Coturnix japonica: one gene and its partner. The protein of the gene in region 1 purifies or fractionates together with the protein of each later gene. This does not show direct contact. Links are inferred from orthologs where the notes say so. Each region holds a gene or a part of one and is shown on either strand. Other genes may lie near its edges. The genes, in order: FLII and LRRFIP2.

Region 1 (4,414 bases):
GGGGGCTGCCCCCTACCTGCACAAGCTCTCAGGGATGAGCTCCAGGTTGTTGTTGGCCGCCATGAACTCCTCCAGGTTGGAGAGCTTGCCAATGCCCGAGGGGATCCCATCGAAGTCGAGCTTGTTGGAGTTAAGGTACATCTTCTTCAGCTTGGTCAGCTTGCAGATGGCAGACTGGGGAAGGAAGGGGAAGGTGGTGGGGTGAGGGCTGGCACTGCAGCCAGGGAAGGGACACAATGGAGGAGTGGGGACATGACGGAGGGATGGGGACAACACGCACAGGCAGGGAGGTGAGCTCATTGCGGGACAGGTTGAGGGTCTCCAGCTGTGTCCACTGGTCGATGCACAGGGACAGCTCAGTGATCTTGTTGCTGCTGAGGTTGAGGCGCCGCAGGCTGCCCAGCGTGTAGAGGCACTCGGGAACACGGCTGAGGTCATTGCAGGACAGGTCCACATCTGGGGAACAAATGGGGCTGAGGCCACCAGGACACACACCAGGACAGCCCCGATGCAACACCCCAACACAGCCCTACCTGCCAGGTTGACCAGGCTCTCCAGGCTGGTGGGCAGGTTGTTCTGCGTGCGTTGTGTGTTCCGGAGGTGCAGGGTCTGCAGGGCTGTCATTGCTGGGAGCTGCCTGTGTGTCACAGAGACAGCATCAGGGCATGGCCCTGCGTGGCTCCACTATCTTGGGAACCAGACACAAAATGGAGCCGTACCGGAGCTGTGCGTGCAGCAGGGGGTTGTCATTGAGGATGAGGGTCTGGAGGTGCACCAGGCGTCTCATCTGTGGAGGGAGGCTCTCCAGCTTGTTGTTGCTCAGGTCAAGGTAAAGCAGGTCCGTGAGGTTGATGAAAAGCTGATTAGGGATGGTCTCGATACTGCGGGGACATGGGGACCTTCAGGGTGGCCCTGGATCCAACCCAAAGAGGGGGACCCAGAGTGAAGAGGGGAGTGGAGGTGACGGGTGGAGGTGGTCACGGTCAGGGGGAGCTGTGCTGCCAGGATCCCCACCTGTTGTGGCCCAGGTTGAGCACCAACATGTTCTTGGCATTCTCCAGCTCCCGGGGACACTCAGTCAGATGGTTGCGGCTCAGGTCCTGGGGGATGAAAGCAGGAATCATCCTCAGTCCTGGGATGAGTCCCCCATAACACAACTACCGCCCACCCCCAAGGATCATGGGGCATCTTTGGGACCACGTTCCAGATGCTCTTCAGTCCCACGTGCTTCCTTGAAGAGCACAAAGGAGCGTGACCAGGAGTCCAGGCTGGAGCTCTTACTGTGGGAAAGGGCAGCATGGAGAGTCTGCACTTACCAGCACTGAAAGATCCTCCAGCTGGAAGATGTCATCGGGGACTCCTGAGTTCTTCAGGCTGTTTGCACGTGCCACAATTGCCTTCAAAGTGGACAGAGAGGAATGACTGCAGCCACCACCCGGCTCCAGCAACTGCTGAGCCCCTCAGGAGGACCAGAGCCCACCATCCCCACTGCATGGGATGCACAACGGGACACTCACCCGGAGGCAGGGCAGGCTGGACAGCTCGCCATGAAGCGTGGTAAGGCTGTTGTGGCTGACGGACAGGTGCTCCTGTGGGGAATCAGGACAAAGCCCCAGTGAGTAGTGAGGGGAGCAGAGCTCAGCCCTGACCCATATTGGGCTGTTGGGGTCCCAAACTGGCTGGGGGGCTCCAGCATGTCCATAATATGCTGTAGGAACCACCAGAGCAAAGCTCAGCCATGGGCTCCACCAACAGCTACGCACAGAACTCGAGCTGCCAGGGAATAATTCCAGGCAGCTGCTGGCTGCTGCTTGTTTTTCTTTTTTCGCTTTTGCTAAGAGAGCCCAAACCTTTAATTCTCCCCATAAACTTTCACCCTTCCCTTCTATTAACAGGCAGAGGAAGAGAGTGTGGTTTCTGGTCTGGTTTTCTAAGAAAACAAGGTGAAACCCAGTACACATCAGCCTCAGCCCCTTTCCTAACAACTCCTGCATCCAATTTCAACCACACTTCCTCACTCAGCCCCTATTATTAGACGCTGGCACACGAGGCAGGCAGGCAGCAGGTTCTTGGCTGCGCAGCCCCCCCAAGTGCCCCATCCCCTGTTTGCTCACCAGCTTCTGCAGGGCAGCCAGCTCCTCGGGCAGGTAGCAGAGCCCTGTGTGGTTCAGCTTCAGCCAGCGCAGGCTGGTCATGGCCTTCACATGCTCTGGGAAGTAGCCACCCTGTGTGGGCATGAAGGTAAGAGAAACTGTATGACCCGTGGGGTGACAATGGAGAGACAGGGCTGGTGCTGTGGGGCTGCTGAGGGACAGATCACCCAGTATTATGGAGCTGGGGACTGGGATCACCCAGCCCCATGAGAACGAGATTTAAGGATGGGATTTAAGGACGGGAGCCTTATGGGACTGGGATCTGCAGACTGAGGTCACCCAGCCCTACAGGATGAGGACTGTGGGCTGACACCTCCCGGCCTTCCAAAGCCCCGCTCACACAGCAGGGCCTGCCAGGGTCACAACAAGGGCCGGGACTGACCGGCCCTAAGCGGGGACCTCGGGGATGGCCGGGCCTGGCGGGGAGCGGACAGGCCTGACAGTCCCTCCCATCCATGGCACTTCCGCCGGCTCTCCCCCCACCCCGCCCGGCCCCACACCGGGTACCGCCCCATACCGGGTACCGCCCTACACCCGGTACCGCCCCTACAGCAGGTGCCGCCCCCGCACCTTGAAGTCGTTACCGCTCAGGTCGACGCCGCGGACGAAGGGCAGCACCCCGGTGGCCGCCATGACAGCGGGGAACCCGGCGGGACGCGCCACCGCCCCAACACCCCGCCCCGCCCTGACGCTGATTGGAGGCGGGGCCAAGGAGCGCTGCGTTCATTGGCTGCGCTGCGAATTGCGGGCGCGCCGGCGCGCCAGCACGGGCTGCTGGTCCGCCCCGCTGGGAGCTGCGGGGTAAGTGGGGGGGGGCTATGGGGTGGGGGGTGAGATGGGCTCGGAGTTGGGGTTCGGAGAAGGAAATAACCGCGGGTAGTACCGTCAGTCAGTGGGGTTGGCTGTCCTACCTTTGTTTGCCCTTGGCAGCTCGGTGAAGGGGGCTGATTTTGTGCCGGCCCCTTCCGTGGTGCCATTGCAGCCCCCTCGTCCCGTCCCCATCTGTTGGCGGCCGGATCTTTATGGGGTGACCCTTGGTCCGGCCCGGCGCCACCACCGCAGCCGGCAGCAGCGGGATCCGTGGGCCTGAAGGTCGGCCGTGGTGGCGGCTGCCCCGCAGCTCGCGTCCCGCCGGGCTCCCCGCCTTCCCCCCATGGCCGTTACACGCCGGGTGTCATTACGGAGCCGGCTCCCCGCTGTCAGATCGCACCGCACCTTCCTCCTCCTTCCCGCAGGTGACCATGGCTGAGTTCTCGCAGCAGCGGGGCAAGCGGCGGGATGACAGCGGGCTGGGCAGCGTCCTGGACCTGCTGCTGGCCAACGCCAGGCTGGTGCTGGGCGTCAGCGGCGCGGCCGTGCTCGCCATCGCCACGTTGGCCGTCAAACGGGTGAGGCTGGGGGGGTGATGTGCCACTTTGCGTCCCAGAGACGTGCCTCGTTGTCTTCGGGAACCTGCGTGCATCTATGAGACTCCCAGAGCCATAGAAGAGCTGTGTGTGACTGTTACCCTGTCTGTGCCGTCCCCTCCCTGCTTTGGGGTGGGATGTGCTGCTGATTGAACAACGTGTCTGTGCAGGTTTTCCCTGTGGATCCTCCCTGGGTCTCTTTGCTCTCCCAGCAATAGCAGCCTTCTGTAAAGGGGGCTGCTGATCTCGGGTCTCCTCCCCCTCTGCCATCTGTAGCATCTCTCTGTGTTTGCATGAGCAGCAGCAGGTAGAGCATCCCCGTATGTGAACAAGGCTATTTGGGGCCTGTAGCTCTCAGTGCAGTTGGGATGGGGGAGCCCCCACTGCTTGTTCTCTGGGTGAGGTGAGGGTTTTGTGGACCACACACACATCCCCTCCATGTGTCTCTCCCACCAGCTGATAGATCGAGCCACGAGCCCTCGAGAGGAAGATGATCCTAAAGCTGAGCAGAAGAGCCTGGAGGAGAGCTGGCAGGACCTGGCTCTGATCAAGGCAACACCAAAACCTCCCAAGAAGCAGAGAAGGGAAGACCTGAGCAAACCCCTGCTCTCCCCGGCTCCACCACCAGCACCAGCTGATGCTTATGGTGGGTGCGTGTGGGTGAAGATCACCTTGGCTGGCTGTGCCTGTGCATGGGAGCTGGGCTTTATTTTTAGCTCTGTGACCGGAAAGCTGACCCGATTGTGTCTTCCCCCTTGGGAGGCTCCCAAGCTGCGGCCCCTTTTTTGGCAGTGCCTCAGTAGCAGCTCCTCTGATAACTGCTGGTTGGTTGGTCTGGTAACTCAGCCAGTTGGT
Region 2 (4,247 bases), on another chromosome or scaffold:
GCCTTCAAAGGGAATTCCAGTGCTACTTCATTTATTTCAGTTGAAACATGCTATTAATGGAACATGCTCTATAGCACCTTCAATAATGTTTTGTTCAGGGTAGCTTCATAAATCAATATCTCTTTTGTAACTGCAGCCATTCCATAGCAAAAGTTCAATGTAATATTTTTTTGCCTCTAATTAAAGGTTTATAATGAAAAAATGTATGTAACCTGACTGTTTAACTCCTCATTAATGATGCTGAACTCAGAATTGCTACTGTGACATCTTGTACCACTGCCTGTAGTAACTGCTCTGTGTATACACTGCTCTGTGCACTGCTTTTCAGTAAACAATTGCTCTTTCAACCCACAAAAACGCATGTCTGCTCTCAAGGAGACACGCTTTTTGCTGCATCATTACAGAAAAATGTGCTGCCTGTGATAGCGAAAGACCAAACACATGCAAATCCTAATACTGCATCAGAAAAAAAAATAAAAAAATAAAAAAACCAAACAACTGAAAACATGTTTTCTCTTTACATAGCAGTATGTTGACAGAGAATAATCTCCCACAGACTAGGAGCGTAGCATCTGTCAGAAGATTCCACACAAACCCTCCCATTCAAGACAGCACAAAAAATACTTCTCCCTGCAGCTCAATCAAAACCACCTGAGACATTTCCAGTGAAGGCTCTCCATAAAGCCCAGACAATCAGCACATAAATCCTTCTGTGAGAATTAAAAACTACATCCTTATGTGGGGTTAAGTCAGTACTGTTTTCTTGCCTTTCCTACTGATATTCCAAGAAAAACTCCCTCTGCAGCAGCACTTCCTCTCTACTTCATCTCCCTGCGGTGAGATCATCATCTATTACTAAAGAAATTAACATGATGTTAAAAATAAGCATGGAATGGCCATGCTTGCACGAAGAGGGAGACAGACACTGTAACAGTTCTCTAGTTGTAAGTCCCTAAATACGAAGAAACCCCAGGAGGTTGCTTTATGTCTGATGTAATAGATGTAACTTGCCTGGACTTCCTTTCTTTATACTCATCCACTTGAGCTTATTTTAGTGTAACATTTGAACTCTGCCAAGGGCTCTTGGGAACGTTCCTGAGCATTACTGCTAGGCTCGTCAACCCTGCAGTGCCTTTTTATTATCAAGTGTCTTCTAACACGAAATACCATCTCCGCCAGAGCTCAAACCATCTCTGCAATTACCCTGCATTAGTGACGGAGGAGCTGGAAAGGCAGATGACTGCAAGTCTGATCCTGCGGCTGTTTCAAGGTGGATCCTCATCAAGCCTCTGACGAACATCAGTCAACTCCTGGTGAGCAAACTGTGATATATTTAATGGCACACTCCTTTCTTTTCTACCTCCTATATCGCTAAGATTGTTGTACACTTAACAGCGTGCATTTCCAATGGCACTTGGGGTGGTGTGAGATAAGGTGTAGTGCTTACACGGGTACCTGACTGCTGCCTGTGCCGTTCTCCCACACAGCGCGGTGCCGTGCCGTGCTACACCGGGACGAACGGCAGAGCCGGCGGGGCGCAGCCAGCAGGACCCCGCGGGGCAGAACCCAGCTGCTCGCTGCCGAGGCCTCCACGTGTTGTCCCCTAAGGAACGCGACAACAACACAAACAGCAGTTAGAACCCTGAGGCGAACGGAGCATGAAACACCGCGGACCTACCTCTCCCTGCCCTGGGGTGACCCAGCCTGCCCGGCGGTAGCGGACACATCCCGTCAGCAGGCTCAGGGACCTCAACCGCCCCTCTGCCGCGCATGCGCGGTCTGCGCAGAGGCCGGCCCCGTCTCCTCCTGCTCTCCCTCCCTGCCCGCCTTCCTCCTTTTCGCCGCGCGGTCTGAGCGCGACCGCCGCTTCCTGCCAGTCTTGCGCTGCGGTGGCGACCGCTCGGCGTCGAAGGGGAAGAGACGGCAGCGTAGGGCGGGGAGAGGAAAAGAGGAGGACGGCCCTCATTCGCGCGACCGCTCCTGCCCCGCTCCGGTTATTGCGGTTCCTGGGGCGGAGAAGGGCCGAGGGCGCAGGGTGAGGCGAGAGCGCGGCTGCCCGGCCCAGGCCGCCGGCCCGTCCCCGCCCGCCGGCCCCCGCGCTCGCCCTGGAGCGGCTTCGGCCTCCGTTTCTCCGCCGCCGGCACGGAGCTTGAGGCGGAACCGATTCCCCGCGGCTCGCGTGGGAGGCGGGGAGGGCACAACGAGCACTCCCGGGCCCCGTCCGGGCGTTCCGGTGCCGCCGTGCGCTGGCCCGCAGGTGAGGATCGGGCGGGTGGGAGGCCGCGGGGCAGCGAGCGGGGTGCGGCTCAGCCGGGCCCCGTCAGGTGGGCGGCGGGAAGGGGAACAATGCCGGCGGGTCCCGCAGCTGTGCTCCTTGCCGACGGGAAGGGAGGCGCGGCGGGGAGGGGAAAGAGAGTGGGAAAGGAGGCTGCTCCGAATCACGGCCGTTGCTGTGTCCGTGCCTTTCTCTCCCGCACTTCCTCGAAGCGCAGCGCTGTCTCTCCGCCGCTTGTCAGGGCGTGTCCCGCCGCAGGGAGGGCCGGGCAGGGCCGGGTGCTGCCAGGCCGCCGGGCGGCTGCCGGGCCGGGCTCGCTCCCGCGAGTCGCAGCGCGCCGAGGCGGCTCTCCGTGCCGTGTTCTCAACTGCGGGCAAAGCGTGCTGATAAGAGATGGGGACATTCCTGAAGCTGGAAGGAGCACTGCAGGCGATTCTTGGCAGTGGTTCGCTGAGTGCGTTGTAGGTGATTTCCAACTTGCTCATTTTAGAGAGACATCTGTCTGTCTGCAGCTTGAAATTGTAGCAGTAATGTAGTGTTGTTTTCATTCCATTAAAGTGTCAAAGTTAGCACTGAAAGGCTTTGGGGCATTTATTTACTTGCACAGATTTCCTGTAAGATTAAAAAAAATACTTCTTTTTACACATTCATTCTGTTGTGACTTTGAAGTGTTTAGTTGGGGCCCAGAAACAGGTATCTTCTTAATACAGATCTGCTTCCTTGCCTACTGTAATTACTTAGTGGTGATGTAAGAACAGATGAAAGGTGCTCTGGCAGTACAGCTCAGCTGGATGTAGGTGACGTGCTTTTCTCATGGCTTTGTGTTATTTACGTTTGGAGATGTTTACCTTAGGGTGTGAAGTTGTGTTATCTGAACAGAATTCCTGGCTCTCACAGAGACCTCGTGCATGTAAGGCAGCTGTGTGAAATGTCAGGTGTGAGACTGTTCACTTAGACATCAGCACGGACCCCAAAGAAGCTCCTTTGCTTTATAGCTCTCACTATGCAGGAGATGACATAGTGTTTTAACACACAGAGTCCGGTTTAACCAGCACTGTCTAAAATTTAACCTGTAGCACATGTTTAAGGTTTTAAATAGAAAATAAACTGGAGCTTTATGTAGTATGGAAGTTGTTGTATGTGCATACCATTTTTATTTGTTTTTGGCATCTAGATAGATATGTTACTGAGTACAGCCAGTATATAACAGTAGCGAGAAATTGATGTGTTGTTGTCTTTATTTGAATAATAATGATATAAATTGTGATAGAGGTCAGTACAGTGCGCTCTGCACTTTTCCTTTAATGTATATTAGAGATGCTTTCTGAGTAAGTAATGCAGATTTATTACCCTGAGTAACTGGGTATGAGTTAGCAAGTATATGTATGCAGCGGACAACTTGTTTCTATGTAAAGTTGCTTCTTTGTAATCTCTGTTATGTATCAGTCAAAAAACAGTGCATGTAAATAGTGCTGTTGGAAGTTTATAGATCTGTGTTAGGCATATAGAGCTGGAGCTGCTGCCATGGCAAAGGTGAAGGTGCACCTCTCCAGGGCCTGACAGCCCCACGGGGCTTTAGAGGGTACCCTGGAAGGTTTGCACTGTTGCTTCAGTAGCTTTCCCTGCAATGGAGAGTAACTGTAGCAATAGTAGCAAAGAGTAGGAGTGTTCTAAATATTAAGTTGTTAATGGAGAAATATCTTCAGTAGTTGCAGCTCGTTACTTGACGTGGGCTGTTACCATGGAGCTCTTTGTTTGTTTCGTTCATTAAAAAATAGTCTCAATATAGTCGCAGAGTGTTGCAGTGTGGTTTTTGCTGTTGTCGTTGTTTTTTTAAAGATTAATGAATCAATCTTTTGCGAAATGCTAGAGGACACTCATTTTGGAAAAGCTGACAACATAAAAATGCTTCGTTTTCAGAAGATTTGTGACTTTGTTTTTCATTATGCATTCCTTCAATTTTTGTTCATTT

The links.
Region 2: the proteins of FLII (region 1) and LRRFIP2 purify together in Homo sapiens (affinity purification with mass spectrometry; 3 studies listed by BioGRID and IntAct, with this or other methods). This does not show direct contact. The link is inferred for Coturnix japonica from reciprocal best matches to the Homo sapiens genes FLII and LRRFIP2.

Annotation. Positions count from the first base shown.
Region 1 is NC_029529.1:5,097,579-5,101,992, forward strand, and holds the start of FLII (protein flightless-1 homolog), read right to left. Parts: upstream 2,828-4,414; 5' UTR 2,787-2,827; coding exon 2,724-2,786; intron 2,226-2,723; coding exon 2,115-2,225; intron 1,590-2,114; coding exon 1,518-1,589; intron 1,398-1,517; coding exon 1,317-1,397; intron 1,101-1,316; coding exon 1,015-1,100; intron 882-1,014; coding exon 720-881; intron 638-719; coding exon 534-637; intron 457-533; coding exon 281-456; intron 175-280; coding exon 17-174; intron 1-16. Other genes in the region: MIEF2 (mitochondrial dynamics protein MID49), read left to right, coding at 3,395-3,541, 4,016-4,205. UniProt on the Homo sapiens protein: Is a regulator of actin polymerization, required for proper myofibril organization and regulation of the length of sarcomeric thin filaments. It also plays a role in the assembly of cardiomyocyte cell adhesion complexes.
Region 2 is NC_029517.1:77,548,221-77,552,467, reverse strand, and holds the start of LRRFIP2 (leucine-rich repeat flightless-interacting protein 2), read left to right. Parts: upstream 1-1,200; 5' UTR 1,201-1,313; intron 1,314-1,678; coding exon of another isoform or gene 1,679-1,966; exon of another isoform or gene 1,967-1,993; intron 1,994-2,086; exon of another isoform or gene 2,087-2,257; intron 2,258-4,247. UniProt on the Homo sapiens protein: May function as activator of the canonical Wnt signaling pathway, in association with DVL3, upstream of CTNNB1/beta-catenin.